Linked DNA regions of Diceros bicornis minor. The protein of the gene in region 2 purifies or fractionates together with the protein of the main gene of each other region. This does not show direct contact. Links are inferred from orthologs where the notes say so. Each region holds a gene or a part of one and is shown on either strand. Other genes may lie near its edges.

Region 1 (7,650 bases), on a different chromosome or scaffold from region 2:
TTGAGCGCCTACTGTATGCCTGTGCCGGACATTAATGGTGAACAAAACCAACAGCGTCCCTGCCCTGGAGGAGGGACTGGAAGGGCACAGAACTGTGTTTTGTGGACCGTGGGTTCCTGTGCATCTGTGATGTTTCTGGACCCGCCTCGGAATAAGGTTTGTGAAGGCATGAAATAAAATACAGGGGATGGCAAAGGAAATCTGTTATCTAGAAATGCATCTAAGATCATGGACTCCCTGAATTCTATCCTCAGGCCCTTGGGAGTTTGGGGACCTCGAGTTAAGAGCCCCTGGGAATTAGCAGGCATAACCACAGCAGAGAACCTGTCGGTCATCCAACATCTGAAACACTCTCCATCCCTCATTCTGCTCCAGCCTCACTGGCCTGCTTTCTATTCCTACCCCAGGGCCTTTGCATATGCTGTCCCCTCTGCCTGGGACACTCTGCTCACAGGATCCTTGGAATTCAGGCCTCAGCTCAAATGTCACCCCTCAATGAGGCCACCACCATCCCCCCAACCCCCATAAGTATCACCATGAGACCAGCATCCCAGCCACTGGAAAATGTCCTGTTTAATCTCCATCATGCCCTTTCACTCCTCAGGACAGCCAGGGACAGTCCCCTATGCATTGCTGTGTCCCCCCTTTGCCTGGCAGAGAGGAGACAAATCAATAAATATTTCTTGTTCGTTGAAAAGTCATTACTGAAGGGCCTGCCCAGTGGCACAATGGTTAAGTGCGTGCGCTCCGCTTTGGTGGCCCGAGCGTTTGCAGGTTCAGATCCCAGGTGCGCACTGACGCACTGCTTGGCAGGCCATGCTGTGGCGGCGTCCCACATAAAGTGGAGGCAGATGGGCACAGATGTTAGCTCAGGACCAGTCTTCCTCAGCAAAAAGAGGAGGATTGGCATGGATGTTAGCTCAAGGTGGATCTTCCTCACCAAAAAAAAAAAAGAAAAGTCATTACTGAGCACTTTCTCCGTCATCGATAATGGCATACAAGTGCTCGATAAATTGTCATGAGACAGTATAACATTGGTGATAATGCTGACAATAGGAAGCCTTTATGGAGCACTTAGTGTATACTGAGCATGTTTTAGGCACTTTATGGATATGAATTTGATTAATTGGTATAACAACCCCGAGGCAGGACTTGTTGTAACTCCCAGTTTTGAGGCACAGAGAGGGGAAGTGGCTTGCTCAAGGTCACACAGCCAGGCAGCAGGGGAGCTGGGATCGGAACCCGGTTCCCTCGGGCTCAGATTTGAGCAGTATAGCCCCTTGGAGACCTCCTTGGTCCCTGCCCTGTAGGGAGAGATGATCCGGTGGCAGCTGATGAGAACACAGTGATGGGGTTTTGATGGGGGCCCCCCAGGGCGGCCCGGGGAAGCTTCCCGGGAGAAACGGATCCTGAAAGAGGCGGGCAAGACGAGTGGACAGACAGATCAGCCGGCCAATGGGAGGCCGGGACCTACCTCCACCGTCTTGTACAGGAAGGAGTACACGAGGGAGGCGTTGGCGTTCTTCAGCGTGGTGGCCACCACTGCGGGCAGCGACGTTAAGGAACAGGTGCCATTTTGGAGGGCTCGGAGGGAGCACAGACCCCGAATCCCCACCCTGCCCCCCTCCAATCCCCAGCCTGAGCCACTGATGTGCTGTGCAACTCCTATCCTCAGCCCACCCTCTCTGGGCCTGAGCTGCCACCACCCAGGCCCCCAGGGCCCCTGCGCGCGGCCGGATACAGTAGAGGTTGCTGTGTTTGATCCACAGGAAGTGGACGCGGCCGTGGCTCAACAGCGGGGCCAGGGCGCCCTCCTCCTCCCGCTGCATGAGCAGGGGCATGAAGTGCTCGATCTCACTCATGGCCACATCGCCCTTGTAGTTGCGGCTGATCAGGGGCTACGGGTGGGCGGAGAAGGCCCGGTCACCACCGGGATCCGGGGACCCTCCACCTGAGGGCCCTCCGCCAGGCTCCGGCTCTTTGGGCCTCAGTTTCCTCCTCTGTAAAATGGGTACGTGATAACAACAGCTAACGTGTCCAGAGCCCTCCCTGAGGTCTAGGCCGTGTTCTACTGAAGTCTGGATGTTTGCTGACTGTCTTAGTTCTCACCACCACCCTGTGAGGCAGATAGTATTAACATCTCCATTTTACAGATGGGGAAACTGAGGCACGAACCGTGTCCATGATAATTGGGGAAACTGGAAATTGAATAAACGAAGGAAGGAAGGGAGGGAGGAAAGATTATAGAAAGAGAAACGAAAGATTATACCCATATATCTCTTTTAGCTCCTATAGTTTCGCCTGGCAGGCTGTAAGCAGTCAATAATAATAGTACCCACCTGATGATATTGTTTAGTCCAGTGTTTAGAACCTAGAAGACATGCAGCAGGTCCGCAGACACCTTAGCTGTCACCATTATTATTATCAGGAATATTATTTTCACCACCCCTGTTATTATTGCTATTGAATGACCAGATGAATGAGAGAGGGTTCCAGAAACGGACGGGGCAGCCCCAAAGGGGAATTAGGGTCCCCTGCCCCTCTATCTTCCCGCAATATTAAGACTTTGGATGGTGACGATGGTAAACATAATTTCAGTTGAATAAACGCCAAATGTTTGCAGCAGGGCTACGGTGGAAAGTGACTGACACGAATCGGGTGGTATTAATTCTTTTTGAGTGGGGACCCTTGTATTCCCCTGTTTACGGAGAGGGAGACTGAGGCTCAGAGAGGTAAACAGTGGAGGTGGGATTGGACCCGGGACTCCCAGGGATTGGGGGAGGGGATGTCCCCACGTGCCCAGGGCTTTCTGGGGCCTCCCCGCCTGCGAGGAGGGGCCGCTCCTGAGTCCGCGGGGGCGCAGCCTCACCTGTCCGTCCCCCCTCCCCTCGCGCCCAGCCTCACCTTGCCCTTGACGTCGAGGATGAAGACAGCCGAGGCGGACATGGTGGCGGCCGGCGGACCTGGGAGGCGGAGAGGGAGCGCCGGTTGGAGACGGCGGCGCTGCTTCCTTCTTCCTGCGGAAGCGCCCGCGCGCAGGTGTGCGCCCAGGTGCGCGCGTCTTAAAGGGGAGGCCGCCAGGTGAGCGGCGCTGTCGGCCGACGAGAAGACGCTGCGGGGGCTGCGAGGGGCGGAGCTTCGGATGCGACAGCTGCTCCGCCTCACTTTCCTTTTGCGCCCAGGAGTGCTGGTGGACGGAGACTCCAGACCAATCACCAATCCATCCATCCATCCATCCATCCATTATCTATCCATCCATCCATCGTCTCTCTCTCCATCCATCCATCATCCATCCATCCTCTATCCATCCATCCATCCACCCATCCGTCATCTCTCCCCCATCCATCCATCATCCCTCCCTCCCTCCATCCATCATACATCCATCATCTATCCATCCATCCATCCACCCATCCATCATCTATCCATCCATCCATCCATCCATCATCCATCCATCATCTATCCATCCATCTATCCACCCATCCATCATCTATCCATCCATCCATCCATCCACCCATCCATCATCTATCCATCCATCCATCCATCCATCATCTATCCATCATCTATCCATCCATCCATCCACCCATCCATCATCTATCCATCCATCCATCCACCCATCCATCATCCATCACCCATCCATCCATCCATCCATCCATCCATCCATCCATCCATCCATCCGTCATCCCTCATCTATCCATCCATCATCTATCTCTCCATCCATCCATCATCCATCCATCCATCCATTCATCTTGTTTCTCCTCTGTCTCTCCCACATGCACGTCCGCCCCAATAGGACAGGGTTTGTCCTGATCATGTCTATGTCCCCAGTGCCCACCACTGGGCACTCAATAATATTTGTCCAAGTCATTCATTCATTCATACAATAAATACTTACTGATTAATTTATTCTTTCACTCAAATACTCTCTAGTAAATTCTTTCACTCAGGAATTGTGGGTAGCATTCTGAGAAGAACCAATGTACCTGCTTTTTTTTTTTTTTGCTGAGGAAGATTCACTCTGAGCTAACATCTGTGCCAATCTTCCTCTATTTTTTAGTATGTGGGCCACCAGCACAGCACGGCTGCTAATAGAACGGTGTAGGTCCATGCCCAGGAACTGAACCCGGGCCGCCAAAGTGGAGCATGCCACCAGGGCTGGCCCCAGTGTAACTGCTTGTATCATTATTCCCAATGTTACTCTTATTCATTCCCTCCAAAAACATTTATAAGCTTCTATAACGTGACACTGAGATGTTGAGCAACTGTTGAAAAGATAAATGGTCATTATGATTATGACTATAATCATCATAATATTATTCACTCAACCAACATTTATGGAGCACCTACTGTGTGCTGAAGGGGACATGTGAAAGCTGCTTTCATTGTGGTGCTGATGACAATTGATACTGTTGGTGATGGACCATTCAGTGAGTGAATATTTGTTGAGCATCCTCTGTGGCGCTGTGGATGGCGACATAGGCAAAGCCACTCCACTGTTCTCGTTCTAGGGAGGGCGGGAGACACACAGCATAAGAACCCCAAAACAAGATGATCCCAGATGAGGATGGGAACACTGCAGGCAGCTGAACCGGCGACAGTGGGCTGGGGGTGTGTGCTGGAGAATGAATGGGGGGCTGTGATGCATGGAACTCAGAGACGAGGCCGACATTTGAAAAATTTCCACCACGACCTTATGAGCGGGACAATCCAAGAGAAGGAGTCTCTGCAGAGCCTGGCACAAAGCTGGTACTGATACTGTTTTTGCTGCTGTTGTTTAGATGTGTGCAGTTGAGCGTGCAGGCTCTAGAGCCAGCTGTCTGGGCTCAAGTCCTGGGTTTGCAACCCACGAGCTGCGCCGCCTTGGGGACCTGGCCTCCCCTCCCTGGACGTCGGTTTGCACATCTGTTAAACACGGTTAATTTCCGTACTTTCCTAATTAATTACAGCGCAGATGGCATGAGTTACTACACACAACGTGGTGCTCAGAGCAGTGCGTGGGGTGCGGCCGACCCTCCTGTTATTATTATTTGTTATTGTTATTATTTACTGTGTGGTGGTTAAGAACACAGGTGCAGGGGCCAGCCCGGTGGCACAGCAGTTAAGTTCACACGTTCCCCTTCAGTGGCCTGGGGTTCCCCGGTTAGGATCCTGGGCACGGACCTATTCATGGCTCATCAAGCCACGCTGAGGCGGCGTCCCATATAGAAGAGCTACAAATCTACAACTATGATACACAGCTATGTACTGGGTCTTTGGGGAGAAAAAAGGAAAAAAAAAAAAAGAGGAAGATTGGCAACAGATGTTAGCTCAGGGCCAATCTTCCTCAGAAAAAGAAAAAAGAACACAGGTGCTGCTGAATTAGCAACAAAATTCCTAAAGCTAGGAAAAGTTAAGGCAGGGAACCAAATCAAATGGGGGAAAAAAAAAAAACCCAAACCGAAAAACAAAACCATATTAAATCTTTGTTCTTGAAGATAAAATGCATTTTTCTCATTTTGGCTTGTGGCTGCGAGAAAAAATTCTGGGTTTCTGCCTTGTAACTATGTTTCCCTTACCAACGGGGACAAAGGAGTTTAATTTAGAAAATAAAACCTCCTAATGGAAATAGACCAGGACACTGCAAACGTTTCCTTCCGTAAACTCCTTGTTTAAAATACAAATTGTTTACATTGGAAATGCATGTGACATGAGAAACTTCGATTTGTTTCTTTTTAATTTTAAATAAAAATAGAGGCCGGCCCCGTGGCTTAGAGGTTAAGTGTGCGCGCTCCGCTGCTGGCGGCCCGGGTTCGGATCCCGGGCGTGCACCGACGCACCGCTTCTCCGGCCATGCTGAAGCCGCGTCCCACATACAGCAACTAGAAGGATGTGCAGCTATGACATACAACTATCTACTGGGGCTTTGGGGGAAACATAAATAAATAAAATTAAAAAAAAATAAATAGATAAATAAATAAATAAAAATAGAGGAAACTAACAAAAAAGAAATACACACAGTATTCCAAAGACTTGGTACAAAAAAAATCTCAGGAATAATTTTAATATTGATTACATGTTGAAATGATAAAAATTTGGGGTTAAATTAAATATATTATTAAAATTGGGGGGAAAAAGAACACAGGTGCTAGGTTTGAGTTCTGACTCCACCGTGGGCTGTGAGGCATTGGGCATTGCCTCAGTTTCCCCTTCTGTTAAAATGGGTGTAACAGTCGTGGTGTCACCTCCTTGAGCTGCACTCTCTGAGTTTGGGCGTAAATCCATGCCTGGCACAGGGTCTCAGCTCCCTGCCCCTCAGCTACTGGGGACACCAGGTTCCACCCCACAACTGTCTGCCATCTTAGAGGCAGGGAATTTTTGGGAAGGGAAATTAAGGAAGAGAAGGGAAATTCCATCTCAGCCTGGCTGGGACGCATCCTGCTCCACAGAGCGAGGGAGGAGTCTCCAGGGGGAGTCACTCAGCCCTCGTGGGCCTCATCCCTCATCCCTCATCCCTCATCCCTCATCCCTCATCCCTCATCCCCTCTCCCCTCCTTCCCCAAACCCAGCCCCAGCCCTTTACCAGCCCCTGGGAGTGGGCTGGGCGTCCCCACAGGGGACTCAAGGGAGGGAGGTGAAAAGATAGCAACTGACAGAACCGCCACTCAGCAACTGACAGAACCGCCACTCGCCTCTGCACCATATCTAACACCCACAGGAACAGGACGACAGCGGCAGTGGCCTCTCCTCGAGCACTTATCTTCCCACCTTCTTTGTGTCTTTTTTTTTCCCCCAAGTTTGTTATTTTTTGCTGTATTTGATTCTGGTCTTCCCAGTTATGGTTTTCCTGCTAATTCAGGTCCTAAGGGGAAGACCTTCATGTCTTCTTATGTTGGCAAAAGCCGAGGCACAGAGAGGTGAAGCCACTTGCCTGAGGACACACAGCAGGGAGGCAGTGGAGTCAGAATTTGACTCAGCCCACTGCCAACTGGTCTGCTCATTGCCGGATACCAGTATGACTGTTACTAACACATAGTTCACGCTTATGTGTGCTCGCTATACCCAGGCGCTGCCCCAACCGTCTCCCAGGTGGCAATCCTCCTCAAAACAACTCTTTGAGTTAAGGAAGCCTATATCTCCATTTGACAGATGGGAAAACTGAGGCTCAGAGGGCAAGTGACTTGTACAAGCCACCCAGGCCTCAGGGGCAGAGTTAGAATTCCACCCCTGCAAGGTGCAAGGTTTTACATTGCCTCTGCCCAAAAGAGGGGTGTCCTCCACCATCCTGCCAGCCCCTTGCTCAGCAGGTGACCCAGGGGGATTGAGGGCGCTGCCAGGCCCTCGCCCCAGGCCAGGCCCTGTTGAACCTCCAAAGGGTCCTTCTTCTGGGACCCTGGGATGTTTTCAGACAGTAAATAGAACCCCAAAGCCTGGACCCAGCACCATGGAATCTGAAACTAAGGCCTGTTTGGCTGAAAAATTCATGAGCTCAAAAGCTTCAGTGGGGTCAGAGAACAGAGCAGCTCTGTGTGCCCAGCTGCCCCGCCTCAGCTGCCACCTCCCCCGTCCCCAGGGGCTGTGGCCTGCCCCAGTTCCTCTTAGATGACAGCATGGCCCAGCCTCCCCTCCAGGACCCTGCCTGTAGGCACTCCCTTCCATCCCTTCTCCACACCACGA
Region 2 (7,894 bases):
TATATGGTGACTAACAAATGATAATGTACAACTGAAATTTCACAATGTTTTAACTATTATGACCTCAATAAAAAAAATTCTAAAATTCCCTTTCTTTTGTTTTAGTGGCATTTCAGAAAGGTGTGGAGTTACATACACATGTTGAATTCACTCCCTTACCCAGAAGTTTCAGGAGTTAAATACCTAAAGTTAAACTGCTAACTAAATAGTTGAACTAAATATTTAGATAAACTAAAAAGGTAAACTAAATAACTAAAGTTAAACTATTTAACTAATAGTTAAATAACTAAAATAACTAAATTTAAAGAGTGTTTTATTTGCCAGGTGTAGGGTCCATTTTCTGATTTTATTATTGATTTCTAGCTTTTTAAGGTTTATTTATTTATTTTCCCCCCAAAGCCCCAGTAGATAGTTGTATGTCATAGTTGCACCGCCTTCTAGTTGCCGTATGTGGGACGCGGCCTCAGCGTGGCCAGAGAAGCGGTGTGTCGGTGTGCGCCCCGGATCCGAACCCGGGCCGCCAGCATCAGAGAGCACGCACTTAACCGCTAAGCCACAGGATCGGCCCCGATTTCTAGCTTTTTAGATTGTGATCAAAGACTGATGTATGAACTCCAATTCTACTCTATTGGAGTTTATTGACATTTTCTTTGTGCCTCAATTTATGCCTTTAAATAATTTTTAAAGCTCCCATTGAAGGAGGGTTTATAGGTTGCCAGGCACTGTACATAAATTCTACAATTTAATCTCTTTAGCAACTTTGCATGGAGGCCCAATCAGCTGGAAAGTGGGGTCCAGCTGAAGATTTGAACCCGGGTGTGGTTCAGAGCTTGGGCCTTTTTGATTGCACCAGTGGAGGGCGGTTCAGCCCTCTCAGGGGAACCTGAGAAGGGAGAGCAGAGCCCTTCAAGAGGCAGCCTATGGCAGCACTGGGGCCACAGGGGAGTGAGCAGAATTTTGCTCCTTGGAAGACCAGGGATGGTGTAATGAGAGCATTTGCAGCAGGAAAGAATGGAGGCAGAGGAGAGGTCCCTGGCAGCCTCTAGGCCCCTCTGCCCTGGAGTCTGTGCCAGGTTCCACCCGAACGGGAAGGATATGGAGCTGCCCACCCTCAGCAGGTGTGGGGCTGGTGGTGTCAGTGAGGCTACAGACAAAATCACTCCTGCCTCCTTCCGGAAAGGATCTGAGGCAACTTTTAGAAGTTTGTAAGGTAAAAACAACAAAAACAGCAAGCAAACATAAATTGAAGTAGAGTAATAGCGATAAGAAGAAGAATCTAGAAAGAAGGTTGGGACGGAGAAAGGCATGCTATCGGCTGCCTGTGCAACATTTACACCGAAAGGTCAGGGGCAGTTAATATCACCAGTGCGCCCTCTAGTGGGCATAGATGGAAAAAAAATACAATTTGTTCAACGTGTATTTATTAGGCACCCGTGTGGATGGAGGGTGGGAAAGACACGCTCTGAGATTCTGTGTGTCAGCAGGTCCCCGGTCATTTCTTGACACCACAAGAACTCCCAACCTCCCTCTGATTGTATTAAACGTCATGAGGCAGGTAAGGGTGGGATGAGGGGGAAAGCATGGGCCCTGCAGTCTTCAGCTCTGGCCTTGCCTCTCAGCTTGGTCCATTGTTGCCTCCTGAAGTTGGAAAAGTTCCTCAGCTTCTCAGGGCCTCAGTGTGCTCATCTGTAAAGTGGGAGTTCCATAGTGCCCACCTCTTGGGAATAGTGAGGGTTAAATGAAGTGATGGGTGTCAAGGGCATACAATGGTGCTTGGCACATGTTGGGTGCAGAGTTCTCAGGAAGGAGAAACTGAGGCCCAAAGAGGTGGACAGGCCTGTCCATCATCAGCCAGCTCAATAGGGCAGGGTAGAAAATGAATAGGACTTGGAGAAGAGTTTAAAAACTTCCTCCTCCAATCAGGAGGTGACGTTACTGTTAGTAATGGTATATCTGTTGGGACAAGTCTGTTCTCTCTCCAAGTGGGCTTGGCCATCACTGGCTCTGCTCCATCCTGGAGCAAAGAGCTCCTCCTGGGCCAGGGGCTCAGAGGTCTGAGGCAGGCCACACATGCCCCAGGTGGGACTTTTCTAGACAGTGTTGGACAGTGAGTGTGACTCAGGCAGTGTGGCCAGCTGGGTTGGAGATGGGGTTAGAGAGGGAAGCCCCCTGAAAGCCCCGCTTCCCTGCTTCCATCTCCCACCTCTGCAAGCTGTAATTATTCAGCCTTTGGCATTGAGTTGTGCCTCTTCTTATTAGTATTATATTTTTAGCTCTTCTGCCAGGCTGAGCTGTGAGAGAGGAGGCCAAGGCCTACAGGGAAGTGAGGAAAATCAGCTCTGCCCACTGGCCTAAGTTTTCTTATCTTTACTTGGGGACAGTCATGGAACCCCAAATTGTTGAGAGAGTTCAGTGAGTTAATATGGGGAAGAGCCTAGCACAGTGACTCTTCATGGTAACTATTAGTAGTAGTAATATCATCCTTCACAGTTCCTGCTGGATGTCACCTCCTCCAGGAAGCCATCCCTGACTTTCCCAGGATGAGTTTGGTGCCCAAGTCTCCTGCACACCCCTGGTCCTTCTGGGCTGTGTTATAATTGCCCCTTTAATTGTTCCTCTCCCAAGGAGAGGTTGTGCCACATCTTGTTCACTGTTGTATCTCCAATATGGCTGGCTCAGGTAAGAGGGACAGACATATTTTAGGTGAATGAGTGGGACTTATGAGAGCACGTATGCTGTGGCTCTGGGACCAGACCATCAGCTTTGCCACTCGGACATTGTTTGACTTCAGCTCTTGGAGTTGCAGCTCCCCTCCACTCCCCAAATAAAATGGGGCTGATGTGAGGAGCAAATGAGACCCCCTGTGCACCACCTAGCACACTACAGGTGCTCCATAAACATCCATTGCTGTTCTGCAATTTCATATTAAATGCCCCCTACTTGTCCACACCTCCCCTTCTCCCTCCAACCCCAGGGGGAGCTTCAGTGCCTCCTCTGGACTCCCATAGTCCCCAATACCTCCCCTATCACAGCACCAACCACATTTGTGCCTGCTGCTCTGTCACCCTCCCCGGACAAACTGATGGTTCAGCAAGGACAGGGCCTTTGCCTCACCTGTGTGACTATCCAACACCCAGCCCAGGGTCTGGTTCAGAGCAGGGGCTTGGGAAATGCTTTCTGAAGGACCCAGACGTCTGGCTCCCTTGCCTTCCTGTCTCTGCACTGATCTCTCTGGTTTGCCCTTTCTTTCCATCTCAGCCTCTGCAACTCTGTCCTCACTGGGCAAGGCCTAGCATAAATGCCACCTTCCCCAGAACATCCTTCTTGAGCAAATTGACGCTGTGACTTCTGTCTCCTTGGAACTCTTAAAGCTCTGACTGCTTTTACCACCAACTTGCCACTTTCACATAAGCTCTCCAGCTTGGTACCTTTAGGTTTGCTGGTTTGTTTTGTTAGATAATCCTTCTCTTTCCATGTTACATTCCTAGTGAAATCTTGTTTTTCACTGAGGCTGATGGCATTTGCCAACATTGATCATTAGGGAAAGGTGGTTTCTCCAGACAGCTGTGCATAGCATGTGGAACATGACACATGCATACAAAATCATTCTATTTGTTTCCTGCCTACTTCAGAAAAGGATTTAAAAATGGAATAAGGTCTGTAAATTTAGTTAATGGTATTATACCAATGCCGATTTCCTGGTTTTGATGTTATACTACTAATATATAAAATGTCACTACTGAAGGAAACTGGGTGAAGGCACCCTATGTACTATTTTTGCAATTTCCTGTAAGTCTATAATGATTTAAAAATAAAACCTTTTATAAAAAGGATTTGAGTCTGGTTAAACATATAAAAACTACATTGAATATTAAAACAATAATATCTAGATTAGACAGGACATACAGACTTGGCTTTGCAAGCTTATTTATTAATAAGTTTTATAATATTATAAGATTGGTAGCAACTTAAGTGTACAACTGTAGGGATTGTTTTTGAGAACAGTGATACCATCCATACAGTGGAATACCATGCAGGTATTGGAAAGCACCAAACAGAAATGTATTTATTGTTTTGGGAAAGTTTTACCAACATCTTGGTGAGTTAAAAATACTGAATGATATGTCAAGTCCTGAAGGATATTCACCAAAATATTAAAAATGATTGTCTCGGGGCGGTGGGATTGCAGATGATTTTTTATCTTCTTTTTGCTTGCTAGTATATTGCCATTCCTCTACAATGCAAATATTATTTTCCTAGTAAAACATTTTTAAAGAGTAGCAATGAAATAATGTTTTACAGGGGATGATCAAAAATTATCTAGAAGGAGAAGAAAGTTAATAGTACCAGAGCCGGGAGTGAGATGGCTATTGCACTTGAAGTCGTGGCAGACCCAGCAAAAGGAGAAATGGGATATTGTGAAGTTCTTGGAGAGTGCGATGTTTTCCCCTCTAACGTGGAATACCCAAAGGGCTGCACTGAAGGGCAGGGAGCGCTAGACTAGATTTACACCTCGAGTTTTGACTCTTCCATTCATACGGTAAGTGATCTTGAGCAAAATCCTGCCCCTCTCAGAGCCTCAGTTTTCCCGTCTATAACAGAAGGGAGATGGACCTCAGAGTCTCCACGACCTTTTCCATCTCCATCACGCGAAATTACTTAGCGGTGAGCAGGCTAATTTTCCTAACCACGCTGCGGGAGACAGCGGCGGAGCAGCGCCGCGGCCGGGGAGGGGTTAATCCGGTCGGCCCCGCCCCGCGGGCACCACCACCCCCGCCCGGGTCGCACCCTTGACCCCGCCCCCAGGCCGTGCGTCCACCGGAAGTGCCCGCGCGCGGGCAGCTCACTTCCGCCCGGCAGGTGACAGCCGCGGGGCTGGAGCGGCCGGCGGCACGGGCGCACCGGGAGAGCAGGGGGAGGAGGCCGCGGACATTTTCCTGCCGAGCCGCGCCGCGCCGCGCCGTGGCGCCGGGAGCCGTGCGGACCTGCGGGTGAGGAGGCGGGGAGTTCGACGAGGCTGGAGGAGAAGTGGGGCGGGGAGGCGGGGGTCTGAGGTGAGGGCGTTGCGGGGTCAGAGGTCACGGAGAGGACGTGGGGCTGGAGGGGCCAGAGAGGCTTCCCGGGCCCCGACGAAGCTGAAGGACTGCGGGTTCATTCATTCGCACCCGCTTGGCCGCTGCCCGCAGCCCAGCTGCCCCAGGTCCGCAGCCCCACCTGGGCGCCCTCCCGGAGAGACGGCTAGACTTAGGCCCCGCGGAGCCCGCCCCTGGCCGCAGGGGAAGCTCCTCTTCGGTCCCGGTTTTCCCCTTCACACTTATCCCCTGGGGCCTCTTCGTTCCGGCCTTATCTCTCTGCCACGGTTCGAAAAGGAAAAAAAACTGCAAGAAACAGCCCTGCGCCGCCTGCTCCGCGGCACGCTGGGGCTTGGTCTGTCCGTTGGCGCCCCACGGACGAGTTAGCTGGGGACACCTGTAATAATGCTAAAAACACCGACGAAAATGCCAGCTGCTGCGTGTTGAGCTCCTACTGTGTACCAGGCGCTGTGCTAAGCGCTTTAGTACAGTGCCACGTTTAAACTTCACAGCAGCCCTTGTGAGGTAGCTACGGTTGTTATCCCCATTTTATCCACGGGGAAACTGAGGCACAGGGAGGTTAAATCACACGTATAAGGTCAATCAGGTAGTATAGACAAGAACCAGGGTTTCTACCCTTGCTTGCAGAGACCAGCAAAGTGCAGAGACAGCAGAGAGGCTGGAGCAAGGTTGGGATGAAGGGGCTATTTAATATCTTTAGCCATTATGTGTATTTGCATCTGTGTAAAGATGTAGGCTTATTGCTTCTCGTCTAGTCTTCATAAGGGGCATTTGACTCACTTTCTTTAGGATGAAACAATCCTGCAGGCTGTTGGTGTAAGTGATTACATTTCAGGGCAAGCGTGGAAGTTTTTCCTGACTATTGGGAACTGTGAGACACAAAGCAGGCTATCCATGAAGCTAATTTGAGAGTATCTAGAACCTCTCTTGAGAGTAGTTGAGCTGCATTCCTTTTGGATTGAAGAGAAGAACCACATGACCTCTAGGGGCTCTTGTAGCCCTAGGTTCTTGAAGGACGTTCTCAAGGGAAGGGTCTGTGTCTCTCTGAGAAAAGTGCAGGCCCCATGGCTTCTTGGCTAGGGAAAGCACATCTTGCCTGGGAGGTGGTGAGGTGGTTTGATGGCCGGAGGGCTAGGTTCTGTGAGTCTGAGCCTTATTCCTTTGCAGACATTCACTAGCTCCAGTTCTGCCTCAGTTTCCCTGAGAGCAGCACAAGGGAGACCTGCTGCCTTCCTACCCACTCTTGGGTGTTGTAAGCCTTAATGAACTCGCGAAGGTTTCCACGTGCTTCTGAAGAAAGCTGTGATGTAAATATTACTGTAGTGCCTTTTTTTTTTTTAACTCTATGATCTGTTCTCCTAGTTCCATTGAATTCACAGAACCTTAATATTGTCACCTTATCCCCATCCTTCCAAGGGAGGATTTGAGATGAAGCGACTTGTCACAAATGGTAGGAACGTGAGCAGAGCTCAGAGCATCTGGCTCCCTGTCCTGAGTTGAGCCCACCAGGCTCCTCGACCTCTTAAAAACTGACGTGAAGAGCAGCTTCACTAGTTTCAAAGAATCAGATCCCTCAGAAGTTGTGTAGAGATTATCTGTTGAGTGTGGGTTGAGCAGAGGCTTCTCCCTGAGCAACCTGAAGAGCTCAGAGGTACACGGAAAAGATTCCCTTTCTCCCCCTCGCTCAGCCCTGGGTTCTGATCCCAGCTCAGCAGCTTCGTGATAGTGGGACCCGGACAACTTGCTTAGACTGGGCCTCTACTTCAGCTCTAAAATAATGATCACCACCTTCCCCCTCTCCTCCCAACACTGGTGCGTGTGGGGGTTAGATGAGGAAGTTTGTGCAGAGCCTGTTAATGTTGCGGTGGGAGCCTTGATCGTAGGCAGTTGATGCCTGCTGAGGGTCTATGTCTGAGGAAGGCTGTCTACCCTGGTTTGTGGGGTGTTACTTCCTTCCGCAGACAGAGACCTTTGTGTACACAGGACTTCTCCCACCCTTCTCGTTTCACTTCCTAAAAGTTTGTCAGAACAAGTTCAGTCCATTGGTCCTGCTGGCTTTCGGCTTGGACTTTCATCTTTTTCTAGTCGTCCTCTGAAACTGTTGCGTATCTTGACTGCTCACTTCCCAGAAAACCCGCATGCCTGGCACCAAAGCCTGATGTGCTGACACTGAGCAAACATGGCTTGGGTATGGGTTTTGCACTTTGGTGTATTCCTGAAAGCTGAGGGAACATCTATAACTTGAAGATGTTTCTTTTTCTGCACAAGTCTTTTTGTCTAAGATAGGTTACTTATAAATTATTACAGCCCAGAAATGGTTTTTGTGTTCTTTTTCTCTTCACACGGAGAGAAACAGATAACTCCAGAGAGAAAATACCACTTGAGCAGTTGGAGAATCCTTAAAAAAAAACTTCTGCTTGAATATCCATCAGTGGCTCCTCGTTGCCCTCAAGCTAAAACTCACATTCCTTAGCATGGCATTCAAGGCCTTTTGGGCTCTGACCCCTGCCTGGCTCTTCTGCCTTATCTCTCCTGCTCCACACTTCTACCTCCTCCCAAGCTCCAAGCAAACTCAGCTGCTTTTCTACAAAGTGCTAACTCGTTATGCCTCTGTGTCTTTGCTTTGTGCTGTTCTCACTGCCTGAACACCATTTCATGTCACATACACACCCCACCCCACACTTCTTTGCTGGACCACTACTTGGTGCCTCCCATCCGATCATCCCCTCCACCTTGCAGGCCTGAGCTAGATGCCCCTCCTTGATGTCCTGTGGCACTGATCATAATGGGTTATCATTGTC
Region 3 (6,952 bases), on a different chromosome or scaffold from region 2:
TCTTACTATCAAGTCCCTAAGCAGAAGAGACATCAAAAAGCTGAAACGTTATGCGAGTCACCGCAAAATGATTGAAAGGAACATGGTAGAAATGACGACTATAGTCTAGAACGTGGAGCCTCATCAGGTGCAGCTGCTTGATTGAAATTTAAAGGATGAATAAGATGGATTTGGGTCCGTGGGGAGGGAATGGCAGAGCATTCCAGAAAATAGTGTGAACAAAATCACAGAGGAAAAATAATAGCAAGGCAGGTTCAAGGGGCACATCTGAGGAAGAAGTCCCAAGTCGCCAGGTTGGTTTTCAGACTGCTCCCTCCATGCAGCCTTCTCCTGGTCTAGTCAGGCAGGTCTGACCTATGTCCCTGAATAAGCTATGCTTTTACGTCATCCTTCACGTCTCAGGCTGAGAGTCTACAAGCCTAGGCAAAGGCCGTGACATTGACCACAATGAGATGGCATGGTTTCAGGGGAGGGAGGAAGGAAGTAACTCATTTTTGGCAAGTGAAGTTTGAGATGACAATGGAATCTTCAAATGGGGGATCTAGTACACATTTATTCAACCAATTTTGGTCATCTCTACGTGTCAGGCACTGTGCTAGACACGGTAGAAACAGCAAAAGAAGACAGTTTATCCTCTAGCAGGAATAATAGAACTAAAAATGTACTATTGTATACAAAATTAGAATTGAGCATATTTTAGATGAGAAGTAAGATTAAAATACCTAAAGTTGATAACCATGTATACCGATCATAACTCAAGCCAATCAACCAGCACAGCGCTGGGTGCTGTGGAGAAACAAAAGATGAATAAGACACTGTCCTACGAGGAGCTTACATTCTAGCTGGAGAGACGAGCCTGACTGAGATGTGCGGTCAATGGACAATATGGCAATGATAACCAACTTTACCAGTCAGAGTTCTTAGTTACCAGGAACAGAAACCAACTCTGGCTAACCGAAGCACAAAAGGAAACTGGGGAGCTCAGGGAGTTGCCAGGAGGACCAGGGAACCAGAGGGAGGTCTCACAGTAGAGACCATGACCCAAATCACATTGGTGCCCCTGCCCTACCCTCTCACTGGGCACAGGACACTGGAATTGGTGCCACTCCACTGGTGCCCTAGGTTTTGATCCTCTGACCCTCTGCCAGAGTCTTACATACCCTCCATCACCCCTTCACCACCTCATTCCCTCCTGGATCAAAGTCTGGGCCGGTGCACCTTTTGGCTGAGTCTAGCAGACATGCCCATGCCCCGGGCACAAAGGCAGCGGCGGAAGTGAACATCTGGAAATTTCAAATGCTACACTGGAGGCTGTTCTGTCTACCCCTAGACTAGTAAGGTGGGGATTTCCAAGCCCTAGGAAGGGGGGTTGGAGCCTGGGAAGTGAAAAATAATGGCAAATATCTACCACGGAAAGTATTCTAATTGTCAGGACTGTTAGGAACAGCATATGATACGGTCCTAATTGCTCAGTGAAAAAAAGAAGTCAAAAAAAAAAAAAAAACACAGAGATGACTGAAACAAGATCATCAAGGAACTACGGACTACCTAAAGAATGTGCAAAAAGTGGCTGCAGAGAACATCACAAGAGGGAGAAATACAGACCATATGCTCATATAGATGAAATGCTCAAGGCCATCTGGGCCACCCCTCCAACCACCACAGGAACCAACTCTACCACCAGAAGAGGGAAAGCTCGGCGACGTGTCAGCACGGTTTGTACGGCGACAATACAAACACCATCTGCACCTATGAAGGAGAATCTCGCCTCTTCCATTTTTCCATTTATACATATGGCGCCACTAACCCTCCAGGCTCATCTTTGATCTTCTTTCTTCTTCTCCACTTAGATGAGATATCCACTTCTGCGGATTGGTCCATTACAGGTATCTCTCCAATTTGTCCCTCTCCATTTCCTCTTTGTTCCCGGATTCCCACAACTGCCTCCTAAATGATCTTCCGGTTTTCCATCTGTCCTTTCGAATTGTCCCTCATATTACTATGAGATTAATTTTCTTAAAACTGTTTTCATCAAGTTATTCCCCAGCTCAGATGACCATAACAACCCCCAACTGCCCACTTCATCAAATCTGAACTCATCTGCAGACACAAGCCACGTTGGGTCCACTAACTCAGAGATTCTCTAAATTCGTCGCTCACTAACAATGAAGAAATCCAGTCCACCGTCTTCTAACTAGTTTAAACCACTTGAAATCTATGATTCTACATGAACAAAACCCAGATTTCTAACAATTCTCTCATGAATCTTATCTTTTCTGCAGCTAGGCATACCACATTGAGATAAGGAATTCTAGAAAGTGTCAGCTTTCCAAGGAGTGTAGCAATTTACATCTTGAGCTTCCAAACTCTCTTGGGCTGTTGCCTAGCTCTCTGCTTTACATATTTACCTCATCGCTTATTACTTCCTTATTTACAACCTTCTCCTCTCCCCAGGAGCACATTGCTTTTCATTTGTTTTGTCTTCGTCCTTCTTACACACTTCCATTCCTTCTTTTCACTCTGTAATGATTTACGCTTTCTAACTCTAACAACTTGTTTTATTGATATTATTCTTGACCTTAAAAATAACACCAAGGGGCCGGCCTGGTGGCGTAGTGGTTAAGTTCGCATGCTCTGCTTCGGTGGCCCAGGGTTCTCGGGTTCGGATCCCCAGCGGACCTATGCACTGCTTGTCATGCCATGCTGTGGTGGCGTCCCACATACAAAATAGAGGAAGATCGGCATAGATGTTGGCTCAGGGCCAATCTTCCTCACCAAAGGAAAAAAAAGTAAGAAGAGAAAGTAGTAGAGGAGAGAAGTTGGGAAACGGAAATAATGATAACCGCTACTATTGTCAAGTGTTTACAGCATGCCAGGTATTTTCTATACACCCTCAGAACAACCTTGCAACGTCGGTATTGCTACTCTCATTTTTAAAATGAGGAAATGGAGGGTTAAATGACCCACCTGAGGCTAAACATCAAGTAAGGGTGAGAGACCAGATTGCATCCCAGGTGAATTAGACCCACCCTCTTGCAACTAGAGCAGCTAGAGACAGGTAAGGCCTTACCAGCAATTGCTTCAACTGAGACTCAAAAACAATAGCATCATTAGTTACCAACAATTATCTAGAAATAGCCATTACGTTTTCAGCATGACAAAATTTAAGATTTTCTCATCCTTATATGCAAACCCCTTCATTTTACTACATGGACACACACACGGACGTACAGACTCACACACGCACATCCTTAGCCAAAAATCTCGTATTATGATTTACATCCTCCTCATCTTTACACTTGTGTCTGGGTTACATCTGTCCCTTTTTAGTTTTGACCCATGCAACCTTCTAAGATTTTCTTTATTTCTTCCCCTTTTGCTTTAATTCACGCTTCTCCTCCTCTTCCTTACATCACTTTTATATCAGCCCCTCCTTTTCTCTTTTATTTCTCATCTCCCTCATTTCCTACGCATTTCTCTTCCTTTAAGAGTGTTGCATCTAGCAGGTTCTCAGTAGATATCTATTTTGAGCTCCATACTTTTCTCATATCTGCCCCCCTCCTTTGTCTTGGTCTTTCTCATCATTCCTCCTCCCCTACATCCGATTCCCACTCAGCTAGCTCTCAATTGCCCACACCCCTTCCGTTAGTCCTCTCTGCTCCTCACAAACTTCGTCGGTCGTCCCATCCATCTCTCACCCCTTTTCCCGCCTTTTTCCCCCAAGGTTCCAAAGCTCGAGGACCTCATTGTCTTCCTCCCCCCATCCTCCAACCAGCCCTCAAGGCAGCCTTGTTACCATAACGACAGAGCTTCTCAAAGCTGAAGTCAAGGACCTGGTTGCCAAGGCTTCCGCTTCTCCGCCTCCAGCCCCGCCCGCGCGCCGCGCAGCCTTGGCGCCTGCGTAGTACGCAACGCGAAGGGCCTCGGAGCCGGGGCGGGGCTTCAAGCGAGAGGGAGGGAAGCCGGAGAAAGGATAAGAAAGGGAGTGGAGCTGGCGCCTACGGTGGCCGAAGAGGGACGCGCCGAGCCGGAGGCTGCAGGATGGTAGGCTGTGCGAAGAGCGAGGGGAGGGGAGGGGGAAGCGAGGGGCGTGGGCTGCACCTGCGAGGGTCCTTGGGGGCCGCCCTCGGTGGGAGCCGCTCTCTCTTCCTCCGGTCCGCAGAGGCCCTCTCTTACCTGGGCGGGTGGGCCAGCCGGCCTCGGAGGGAAGAGCAGCTGGAAATGGCTTTGAGGGGAAGGGGCGGGAGGGGGCGCATTTGTGGGGCGGAAAGGTGGGATTAGGGGCGGCAGGACCATCCCGAGCCGGGGGGAGCGCGCGGGATGAGATCCAAGGGGTCCCGACCACTGCCGCAGGGAAGTCGCCAGAGGAATAGGGGCGCGGGGGCCTGTTGGCGGAGGGAGGCAGCGGGGTCGGGGGTCGTCAAGACCCTCTGCCCCCCTGCAGCCCGGAGAGGAGCGGCGGCCTGCGGAGAGAGCGGTGTGTGGGAGGGGATAGTTTTCGGGTCCGAGGAGTGGACGTCCCGCCTCGCGTTATCGCCCTGCTCGCCTAGAGGCTGGGGTGAGGAGGGAAAGCCAAGTGGGCTCGAGGTCTTGCTCTCGGGGACCCGGGCTTTGGGTCCCCGGCTCCGTGCTCTTAGCTCTCCGTCCCCCATCCCATTCTCTTTCCGGAACCCAGGCCTTCCGTCTTCCTGCTCGCTTCCCACCCCCCGCCCCCATCTTAGACACGCACGGCTCCCTTGTGCCCCTCTGTTGCTCTCCCACCACGCTAGGAGCGCTTCCTCTTCCACACCACCAAAAAACCCATGAATTCTGATCTTTACTAGATTAGTACTGTTCCACACACCCAGGGATTCCAGCCCTGGTCATGTCCATGGAGAGGAGAGCTGCAGGGAGAAGGAGATAACTCCAGGATGAGTCCTGGACCCCCTGGCACCGGGAAGCTGGGGGTGCACGGGGTAGTGAGGGCTCTGCCCTCCTCCCCACTCTACCCAGCTTGCACTTTGTTCCACAAACATTCCCTAGGGGAGCCACCCTGGATCGCTGTGTCCTTTCTGAGGAATTGAAAGGGAAATTGGTTCTCTGGTATCTGAGAGGGAGTGTGGGCCTACCAGGAGGCACCCTAAAAGGAAGAAAAGAGAAAAATATCAGTGGCCAAATGCCTGGATGGCTGAGGAGAGAGGAGGGTGAAATTTGGGGGTCCCAATACCACGTGCTAAGGTGAAGGGTACACCTGGGCATAGGACTCGCATTGGAGGGCACCGTGTTAGGGACATCAGCAAGGGTGTATGGCTGGAATGGGTGGAGGATTGAGGTAGCTTCTTGAGGCACAAAATATTCGATTTCAGCATAGTATATAGAAGGAGCATGCAAGAAAGCAGACGGCTCTGACGTCAGCTGTGGGCTGATGCGAAGCATTTTACTTAGCTTTGGAAGGCAGCGTCAGCGAATAATAACAATGATACCTAATGTGTTACAGTGCTTGCCATGTGCCAGGCACTGTTGTATATGTCAACTCTAATCCCTCCTAACAACTTTGTAAGGTAGGTACTTTTATTATCTCGGTCTTACAGACCGGGAAACAGAGACATAAAGTAATTGCCCAAGGCAAATTACTCAACTAGTAGAGCCAGGATTTAAACCCAAATGACAGACTGAGAAGCTCCGACACCCCCCAGAAGGAAAGGCACCTGTTGGTGGGAATACTCAGAGTCGACAGCAAGAGCTGATTTTTGAAGAAAGTAGGAGCTTCAAGTAGAGAAGAGTTAGATGGGATAAGTTTGGGGTTGTGTGTTTATGGAGGAAACAAACTCAGAGAACCAAACCTCTGACCCTCAGCTCTGCCTCCCCACCCCCAGATGCGATTCATGCTGCTGTTCAGCCGGCAGGGGAAGCTGCGGCTGCAAAAATGGTACCTGGCCACATCAGACAAGGAGCGAAAGAAGATGGTTCGGGAGCTTATGCAGGTTGTTCTGGCTCGCAAGCCCAAGATGTGCAGCTTCCTGGAGTGGAGGGACCTCAAAGTTGTCTATAAGAGGTGACTCCCCACCTACTTTCAGACCTGCCTGGATCCTGCTTGATTGGGGTCTGGCAGTGGGTTCAGATGGCTGAGTAATAAGTGGTCCCTTGGGTCAGGGAGAGCTGGGAGCTAAGGACATCTGGAGGGCGGTGAACTCCAGCTTCCTGTACTTTCCAAACTCGCCTTGAAGAAACTCTTGTTCCCACCTGGTTTTGCTCAAGCCTGACACCTACTTCATACACATACCTCTGTCCCAAAGGCCCTATCTTGTCCATTGCACATGTCCCTTGCTTCAAGATCCTGTGCCACTTTTCCCAACACACACACACCCCCTTTCTATTTCCTTCTCTGAGCAGGTGGATTAGTTGGCTCAGGTTTTTTGCTGAATCAAACTGAACAGGTCAGAGGGCAAGAGGGAAGGAGCTGTGTCTTTGCCTGTGCTTGTGAGAGGCCCTGAGAGGCAGAGTGAGTTACTATTTGCATGCCCTGGGGCCACCTCACCTGTGTCCAGTAGGGCGCAGGCCCTGAGTTGGGAATGAGGAGAAATGGGAGATTTGAGCCCAGAAGGCCCGGGTCCTGAAGCAGGCCCAGCAGCCCTCCCAGCTGTCCCTCATGTGCCCCTGTCCTCAGATATGCCAGCCTCTACTTCTGCTGCGCCATCGAGGGCCAAGACAATGAGCTCATCACGCTGGAGCTGATCCACCGATATGTGGAGCTCCTGGACAAATACTTCGGCAGCGTAAGTCCCCCCACTCGCCGCAATTTCCATAGCTAGCGATCCCCTCTTTCTTCCGAACTCTGGGGCTCTTCCAGTCTCTGCCCGGGAAGACTCGGGAGAGGTGAAGTTGGAGCAGCGAGAGCAGTAATTAATCTCCCTCTGTAAGCCTTAAGCCTGCTAGCCATGCCCCTCAATCAGCCCAGGGGAGAAGGGTGGGG
Region 4 (7,980 bases), on a different chromosome or scaffold from region 2:
ACAAGTATGTCTGATTACCTCTATCTCTTCTCCTTGTGCCCCACCTTCAGTCAAGATTACAGACCTAAATGAATGATTACAAGGCATCTACATTAACAACAGAGGGTGAAAGGGAAAGGAAAATTGAGGAAGCATCTGACATCAGAGGGAGAACTGGGAAACCCCAGTGGGGAAAGGATTGATAATGCTTCCAGGCAACCTCTACCTATAGAGCAGGGCAGGATGGGAGGGGCTGTGGAAGGGAGACTAAGAGCTTACCCAGAAGGTCTCATGGCCATGCTGAGAAAGCATGCATGTTAGCAGGGAGAGGGAATAGATCATAGGAGAAAGGGGGGGACCCACCCTTACTCCAGTTTCAGAGCTCAGATAGGAGGGGGCAGGGCAGGGGGCAGGGGGCAGTGGCAGTGACCAAACGGGGAGAACAATGTGATAACAGAAGGACTGAAGACAAGCAAGATGTGAAATTCTCATGTTGGGAAATCTGCAGTGGAGGAGGCAGGGATAAATAACAAGAAGGGCTAGCAGCAGTAAGGGGAAGGAGGCAAAGGCTCCTAACACAGGGAGAGAGCAGCCCAGAACAAGGGGCAGGGTGGGGCAAAGCTGCCAGGAGGGCAGCATCGAGGTCCAAGAAAACGCCCTGGACCCCAGAGAGAGCTGTGTGACCCCAGGGAGTGTGAGAGGAGTTGATAACAACAGGAGGTGCCGACAGCAAAGAGGGAGGGCAGGCATAGCTTGTAAGCACCAAGCAGGTGTGACTGCAGAGGGATGTGCTAAGAGAGTGAGGTCTCATTTGTCACCAGGAAAGGAACAGGACAGTGGCGGGCAGCTGGGGAGGGCCTGGCCCCTGCAGCTGGAAGAAGGGAAGTGTTACTACAGGATGCAGTGGTGGAAGGGTGTGAGAGGAGCAGGGAGGTGTAATGACAGTAGGCCCAGCCCAGCTCTAGGAGAAGAAACCAAAGGCCAGCTGCCCTGGCGGCCGGGAAGGAGAGCAGCTGGCAGAGTGTGAGCAAGGGTGAGGACTCCAGAGGTGAGCTCAGATCCAGAGGATGTGATGTGGTGGGGACCTGGGCCAGGGGGCTGGAGCATCTGAGCAGGGCTAATCTGAAGGGGGTGCTGGTCTGCTAAGTCCCTGTCCCTGGAACCCAACAGGGCAGCAGACGCCCTTCTAAAGGCAGTGGCAGCCAGCAGTGTCGCCGAGAAGGCTGTGGAGGCAGCTCGAATGGCCAAACTGATAGCCCAGGACCTGCAACCCATGTTAGAGGCCCCAGGTGAGGCGTGGGCAGCCTGGGGCGGGGGATGGGCCCCCTGGGGAGCTGGAGAGGCTCTGGCATGGAAAGGGGAAGGGAATCCCTGCAGGGCACTTGGGATGGAAAAGCCAAGGATTGAGGGTCCAAGGGGACGGAGGGTGGGGGCCAGGCCCGGTTGTTTGGAGAGTGGACCTGGGAATTTATGAAATAGGGCCAGAACGACTATGGGGTTGCGGTCTTGCAATGAGAGGCGGTAACCCTGGGGACACTGAAGTCCTGGGAGGCGCCCAGACAGGGGATAAAGCTGTAGCTTTGGCAGCCCAAGGCCAGTTAGGCCCCTCTGATTCTTAGCTATCCCTGCCCCAGGCCACAGACCCAGGCAGGACTCAGAAGGTTCCGACACAGAGCCCTTGGATGAGGACAGCCCTGGGGTGTACGAGAATGGACTGACCCCCTCAGAGGGCTCCCCTGAACTGCCTAGCAGTCCTGCCTCCTCCCGCCAACCCTGGCGACACCCTGCCTGCCGGAGCCCACTGCCTCCTGGGGGGGACCAGGGTCCCTTCTCCAGCCCCAAAGCTTGGCCTGAGGAGTGGGGGGGCCCAGGTGAGCAGGCAGAGGAACTAGCTGGCTATGAGGCTGAGGATGAGGCTGGGATGCAGGGGCCAGGGCCCAGAGACGGTTCCCCACTGCTCGGAGGCTGCAGCGACAGTTCTGGAAGTCTTCGAGAGGAGGAGGGGGAAGATGAAGAGCCCTTGCCCCAGCTGAGGACCCCAGGGGGCTTGGAGCCTGAGCCCGGGACCACACCAGTCCCGAGGGGCCCGTCCTCAAGGGGTCCTGAAGCCAGGTGCCTGATGGAAGAGCTTGAGGAGCATGCCGCAACCGAGAGGCCTGCCCAGCCGGTGAGACACTCTCCATCCCCATTTTGTGCCCTCAGAGTCTCAGCTCCTTTCTGGCCCCTCTTCCCAAAGCCTTGCCTCTCCTTCCATCCAGGCCTCTGTCTGATCCCCTGGGGCTTTGATCTGGGCTCAGCTTCCTCTCTGCCTGCCCAGTCCTGGCCCATATCCCACCTCAAAAGAGACCTTCATGTCCAACGCCCTCATTTGACAGATGGGGGAACTGAGGCCCAGAGCATTTGAAGTAACTTGCCCAAAGCTACAAACTAATAATTAACGGTGGAGCCAGAACATCTTTCCCTGTTCTCCTTCCATATCATTTCCAACTCCCAGTTTCCTACTCCACCCCCACCCCCACCTCCACCTCCACACTTTCTCTCTTTGGTGCCCAGAAATAAAAAAGGAAAAGCTTGTTCCCTCCCTACCCTGACTCTCCCTCCCTCTCCTGGGAAGAAGGGAAATAGGAAAGGCAGCAGAAACCCAGGAGGGGTGGAGATTCTCCAGAATCCTCTACTCTGATTGGACTTCAGGTCTTCTCCTGTTTCCTAGCAACCACATCCTCATCCCTCATCCCCCTCTGCTTTACTGCAGTACCGGCTGCTGCTGCCAACAACGTCTGCTACTAAGGCCAGGCACCTTCTGCCTGGGCCACGTGACATGCTGGTGGGAGAGGAGTGGAGAGTGGAGGGAGGAAGGGCTGTTCCTGACTTGAGGGAGCCAGAGGGAAGGTGGGGCCCTGCCTGGGAGAAGAGGGGTGTTTTGCAATCCAAAACAAAGGTTGGAGATCCCCCCACGCCTGGCACTGAGGAGAGGGGCTGTGACCATTCAGCTTTGCCACTTCAGCCAGGGCAGGAAGGTGGGACCTGTCGTTGGACCTGGTCCTCGGGGACTGAGGCTGCATTTCCCCCTCTCTCTAGGGAGCTGCCAACCCCCTGGTGGTGGGAGCCGTGGCCCTCCTGGACCTCAGCCTGGCGTTCCTGTTCTCCCAGCTCCTCACCTGAGGCTCCTGCCCAGCCTAGCCTGGCTTTGGTTGCTGCCTCTTCACTCCTTGGACCTGCCTTTTTCTCTCTTCCTCCTCCTGGTTGTTTCTTCTCCTATCTTTCTTTCTCTTCTCCCTTTCCTTCCTTTCTTTTCTGTCCCCCTTTGTTTTCATCTCTTGCTTTTTCTTCCCCTCTCTCCTTTCAGATTCTCTCATTTCCTGTGGATCTGTCTGTCGTCCTCACTCCCTTCCCCACCCCACCCCTTCTCCCTCTCTAGATTGTTTACATATGAAGGGCTTTTCTCCTCAGAGTTGCTCTCTTCTCTGAGACACACAAATCTAAGTCAGACCATTGCCCCACAACCTCCCCGCCTTTTCTTTAGACCTGAACTTCGATGAGGGTAGGGGTTTGGTGTCCTGAGGAGTCTCCTGGAAGCCAAGTGGAAAGGAGGAAGAAAATGGAGAAGGGGGTACTGTATACTGGGCAAGGCACTGGCCGAGCTGTGGTGGGAGCTGGACCCAAGGGGCCTGAGGTCCCTCTGAGGCCTAGTGAAAAGGCCAGAGGAGGTGCAGCCCCCATCTCTGACCTGGGAGGATCCTGTCTCACCTCCAAGGGTTGAGCTAGGTTCTTGCCTAACTTCATCCTTCCTTGAAGGAGATAAGGGAAATGAAAAGTAGGAGGACTCTCTAGCATCTCCCTCTTTCTCTCCTCAACAGCCAGCCCCTCCCTCGTCCAACCGGTTTGGGTGGCATGCCATGTCCAGAGCAATGTGTAAAGCAAAGCAAATGTCCAGTGCAGCCAAGTCCACCCATTGACCTCTCGCACCCTCCTCTCTCCCCCTAAACGTTTATTTGCTTGGTCTGGACTCACTTGTGGCCTTTGATTAAATTTCTAAGGGGCCTGAAGAAGACATTTCTACTGCAGAGGGTTTGAGGCACCTGAGCAAGGACCCCACTCCCCAACTCTGGCAGTCGTGGCGGTGGTGGAGGGGGCGGCAGTTCTGGGGAACGGAACCAGACTAGATAACAGGAACTCACAGGGCAGCAGAAGCTGTGACAAGTTTAGTAGTCTCTAAGTGGGTTATGTCCCTTCCCCCATCCCCATCAGAATCTTGTGAAATGGGAAAACAACAGGAGGAGGGGATCAAGGAAACCAATCTCACACACTTTCTAGGCAGGGAAGAGGTGGGCCTCAAAGCCGTTGAGAGGTGGGTGGAGAGCCCTGTTTGAGATTGTGGCTGATCCCTGGTACTAGCTTTTCCCCTGGGGGCAGGAAGCCCAAGGAAGAGGGACTGTAGGGTACCCAGGGGATCTTTCCTCCCTCCCCTGCATGAGGCAGAGGCAAGCTGCCTGCCAACCCCCTCCCTCAAGGAATGGCCTTGCCTGGGAATGCCCACCACACACATCCTCCTCTTTTTTTCTAGTCAAACTCTGTTCACTCCTTGGCCTGCATCTCTCCTTTCTCCCCTCTCAACCTTTACTTCTGATTTCTATTTCATGGAATTTGGGATTGAAGTTAAACTACAACAGTGCCGCCAACACTAAGTCTTGCAGGAAAAAAAAATACAAAGAAATTTAACAAAAAAAATATATTAATAAAAAACTTCAAAAAAGGGGGGGATTGTCATCTCCTTTGGGGTGCGATGGCTTCAAACCCAAGCTCTCTGAGGCTCTCCGGGTGCTGAGAATGTTCGAGGAGCCCTCTTGGGGAAACCCCAGGCCTGATAGACAGTCTCGCCGCCCCTATGCGGATCAGAGCTGCTTCCCCTAAACTCCAAAGCCAGAGGCCTGAGGTCAGAGGATTCAAGACGTCTCAGCAGGGAGGCCCAGGAAGGGCGGGGTCCCGTGGTGGGGGCGGGGAGAGGGAAGGACCAGACGAAGCACCAACCCCCGCCCGGCCCCGTACCAGGAAGTGCTGGGGGCAGAGGAGCAGAGTTGAGCCAGAAGCCAGGTGAGGCTGGCGTTAGGGATGGCATCCTGGTGTGGGGAAGCTGGGGCCGCCTGCGATGTGAACGGCGGAGGAGTCCCGCAAGAGAAATCGCGCAGGGCCGTGGAAGGAAAGAAATGGCTGAGCTAGGGATGGGAAACCAGGTGGAGGACGGAAGGGGGGTGGGAAATAGGCGGGGCTCCTGCGCGTGCTCAGTAGGGACGGGCTGGTTGGGGGGGGGCACGCATGCGTAATGGGGATCTCCTCGGGATGGGGGTGGAGTTCGGACACCCACGTGGAGAAAGGTAAATGTGGGCTCAGTTTTAGGGTAGCTGTGGGACCCGGGCCCTCAGGATCTTGGCCCAGGGGACCCTGGGCAGAAAGGCCATGCAGCCCTAGCAAGAGAAGGTTAAAGCCCTTTCCATTCCCGGGCTTTGACCCCCAGGATGTTGGTGCCTTCGCTGAAGCTTCAAGACCTAATCGAGGAGATTCGTGGGGCCAAGACCCAGGCCCAGGAGCGGGAGGTGATCCAAAAGGAGTGCGCCCACATCCGGGCCTCCTTCCGCGATGGGGACCCTCTGCACAGGCACCGCCAGCTGGCCAAACTGCTCTACGTCCACATGTTGGGCTACCCCGCCCACTTTGGACAGGTACTGGGCAGAGTTTGATGAGGGAGGCTAGTGGAGCAGTGTCTCAGACCCCCTCACGTATCTGTGCCCTGATTTTTTTATTTTACAAAGTTGCTGAACCCTCACAGTATACACTGCAGACCTCCTTCCCCATTACAGTCCCTGTGGGTCATCAGCTGGACTGAACCCTTCATTCTCTGGCCAGCCTCATTCAGGGTACCTCCTCCTCTCCTCTCCCATCATCCTCGACTCCTATTGCCTGGAAACTACCCACTGACTCTCGATCTCCTAAGCCCCTCCTCCTGTTGAAGGGAGGTTGATGGGATATTGTGCCCCCACAAGTTAATCTGGCATTAAGGAGGAGGATAGAAAGGGATGTTAGTGCCTCTGGTTTCAGTCCTGCCCCTTCCTGGTCTGCCCCCTTCCCTATAGATGGAGTGCCTGAAACTGATCGCCTCTCCCAGATTCACAGACAAGAGGGTGGGCTACCTGGGGGCCATGCTTCTACTGGATGAGAGGCAGGATGCCCACCTGCTCATTACCAACAGCATCAAGAAGTGAGAGGGTTCTGGGAAGCACTTGGAATCAGGGAGATGGGAGATGGGGGAACTGGGAAATCCCAAGGGGCTGCCTGCTGTAGGTACTGGGAAGGCCTGGATTTCCCAGAGCCTTGACTGACTGCCCTCCCAACTCTGCAGTGACCTGAGCCAGGGGACTCAGGCAGTACAAGGCCTGGCCCTGTGCACTCTGAGCACCATGGGCTCTGCTGAGATGTGCCGGGATCTGGCCACTGAGGTGGAGAAACTGCTCCTGCAGCCCAGCCCCTATGTGCGCAAGAAGGTGAGCTGGCAGGACTCTAGGCACCTGCCCCTCCAGAAACTGTCCCGTTTGCCATGTGATAGAGGTAGGGGGTCCATCTTGGCAGACCTCCACCCTCTCTGAGCCCCCTGACCTCTGCAGGCTGTTCTGACTGCAGTGCACATGATCCGGAAGGTCCCTGAGCTCTCCACCATCTTCCTCCCACCCTGTGCCCAACTGCTTCGCGAACGCCACCACGGTAAGGCCACCGGGCTCCCCATCCCCTGCCTCAGCTCTGGCTACCGACAGAAGTGAAAAATGGGATGGGAACACCAGCTCCTAGGAGAAGGCTAGGACGTGCACACACACGCACACAGTAGACGCTCCTGTTCCCCTGGCCCACCATTCGCTTCCCCCACCCTCACCCAGGCATCCTAATGGGCACCATCACACTGATCATGGAGCTCAGCGAACGAAGCCCTGCAGCCCTCAAGCACTTTCGAAAGGTGGGCTGGAGAAGGGGCAGGCCCTGGGCCAGGAAGAGAGGAGCAGTGGGGTTGGAGTGGGGCTGAAGGGTGAGAGGACTTGGAAGAATGCCCAGATGAGGCTGTGCCCTCCCCCCAGGTGGTGCCCCAGCTGGTGCAGATCCTCCGGACTCTGCTGACAACGGGATACTCCACAGAACACAGCATATCTGGAGTCAGCGACCCCTTCCTGCAGGTGGGCTGGCCCTTCCCTGCTGTATCCCTGGAACAGAGAGCTGAGCTGGAAACCCATGGCCGGTGGTCACCTCCCGGAGAACACTTTGGCTCAGTCAGTGCCTTAGGCAGAAGGGTGGCAGGCACAGGTCTGCCCAGGTCATCCCAGGACCATTGCGGGGAGGGGGACACCTGAAAGTTAGAAAATCCAGTTTGGTAACAATAAAAAAAAGCTTGTCCGCAAATCCCCTGGCCTCACACACCTCTGATCCCCTCCCAGGGCCCAAGGGACCTGGGGGGGAGGGAGGGGCAGGGAGCCTCTAGGGAACCAGCCAGGTCTCTCACAATGCTCTCCTTAATGGATTTTTCTCCTCAGCCCCATGACTCCTTACCCTATGAACCCCTCCACTTTTCAACCTTTAACCCAACTTTAGGTCCGGATACTTCGTCTGCTTCGGATTCTGGGCCGGAACCACGAGGAGAGCAGTGAGACCATGAATGACTTGCTAGCCCAGGTTGGGGGCTGGGGAGCGGGCACTGGTTAGGTGTGTTGCTCTATGATCCCACCAGCCCTGGGCATCCCTCACATGACCACCGACCACAGAGTGGCAGTACAGTCACGTCTCCATTTCCCTCTAGACTGTGACCTCAGTGAGGACAGGGACACAGTCTCTCTCAGTGCAATAGCCCCTGCACATAGTGGGGCTCAGGAACTTTGTTAGATGGTTGAGGGATGACATGGTGGAGACCTTCCAAAGACCTGAGGAGAGGACAGAGCCCCCTGTAGATGCATCTTCTCTCCCATCCAC

The links.
Region 1: the proteins of AP1B1 (region 2) and AP1M2 purify together in Homo sapiens (affinity purification with mass spectrometry; 3 studies listed by BioGRID and IntAct, counting the BioPlex papers as one, with this or other methods). This does not show direct contact. The link is inferred for Diceros bicornis minor from reciprocal best matches to the Homo sapiens genes AP1B1 and AP1M2.
Region 3: the proteins of AP1B1 (region 2) and AP1S1 fractionate together in Homo sapiens (co-fractionation; 6 studies listed by BioGRID and IntAct, with this or other methods). This does not show direct contact. The link is inferred for Diceros bicornis minor from reciprocal best matches to the Homo sapiens genes AP1B1 and AP1S1.
Region 4: the proteins of AP1B1 (region 2) and AP1G2 fractionate together in Homo sapiens (co-fractionation; 3 studies listed by BioGRID and IntAct, with this or other methods). This does not show direct contact. The link is inferred for Diceros bicornis minor from reciprocal best matches to the Homo sapiens genes AP1B1 and AP1G2.

The regions. Positions count from the first base shown.
Region 1 is NC_080769.1:8,687,643-8,695,292, reverse strand, and holds the start of AP1M2 (AP-1 complex subunit mu-2), read right to left. Parts: upstream 3,001-7,650; 5' UTR 2,947-3,000; coding exon 2,905-2,946; intron 1,899-2,904; coding exon 1,742-1,898; intron 1,543-1,741; coding exon 1,475-1,542; intron 1-1,474. UniProt on the Homo sapiens protein: Subunit of clathrin-associated adaptor protein complex 1 that plays a role in protein sorting in the trans-Golgi network (TGN) and endosomes.
Region 2 is NC_080774.1:23,055,628-23,063,521, reverse strand, and holds the start of AP1B1 (AP-1 complex subunit beta-1), read left to right. Parts: upstream 1-4,878; 5' UTR 4,879-4,991; intron 4,992-7,894. UniProt on the Homo sapiens protein: Subunit of clathrin-associated adaptor protein complex 1 that plays a role in protein sorting in the late-Golgi/trans-Golgi network (TGN) and/or endosomes.
Region 3 is NC_080765.1:4,793,656-4,800,607, reverse strand, and holds the start of AP1S1 (AP-1 complex subunit sigma-1A), read left to right. Parts: upstream 1-3,943; 5' UTR 3,944-4,041; coding exon 4,042-4,044; intron 4,045-4,500; exon of another isoform or gene 4,501-4,558; intron 4,559-5,855; coding exon 5,856-6,034; intron 6,035-6,646; coding exon 6,647-6,755; intron 6,756-6,952. UniProt on the Homo sapiens protein: Subunit of clathrin-associated adaptor protein complex 1 that plays a role in protein sorting in the late-Golgi/trans-Golgi network (TGN) and/or endosomes.
Region 4 is NC_080744.1:24,297,345-24,305,324, forward strand, and holds the start of AP1G2 (AP-1 complex subunit gamma-like 2), read left to right. Parts: upstream 1-4,965; 5' UTR 4,966-5,070; intron 5,071-5,329; exon of another isoform or gene 5,330-5,351; intron 5,352-5,491; 5' UTR 5,492-5,492; coding exon 5,493-5,696; intron 5,697-6,107; coding exon 6,108-6,232; intron 6,233-6,373; coding exon 6,374-6,515; intron 6,516-6,635; coding exon 6,636-6,732; intron 6,733-6,902; coding exon 6,903-6,979; intron 6,980-7,097; coding exon 7,098-7,193; intron 7,194-7,605; coding exon 7,606-7,686; intron 7,687-7,980. Other genes in the region: JPH4 (junctophilin-4), read left to right, coding at 1,150-1,268, 1,614-2,146, 3,058-3,141.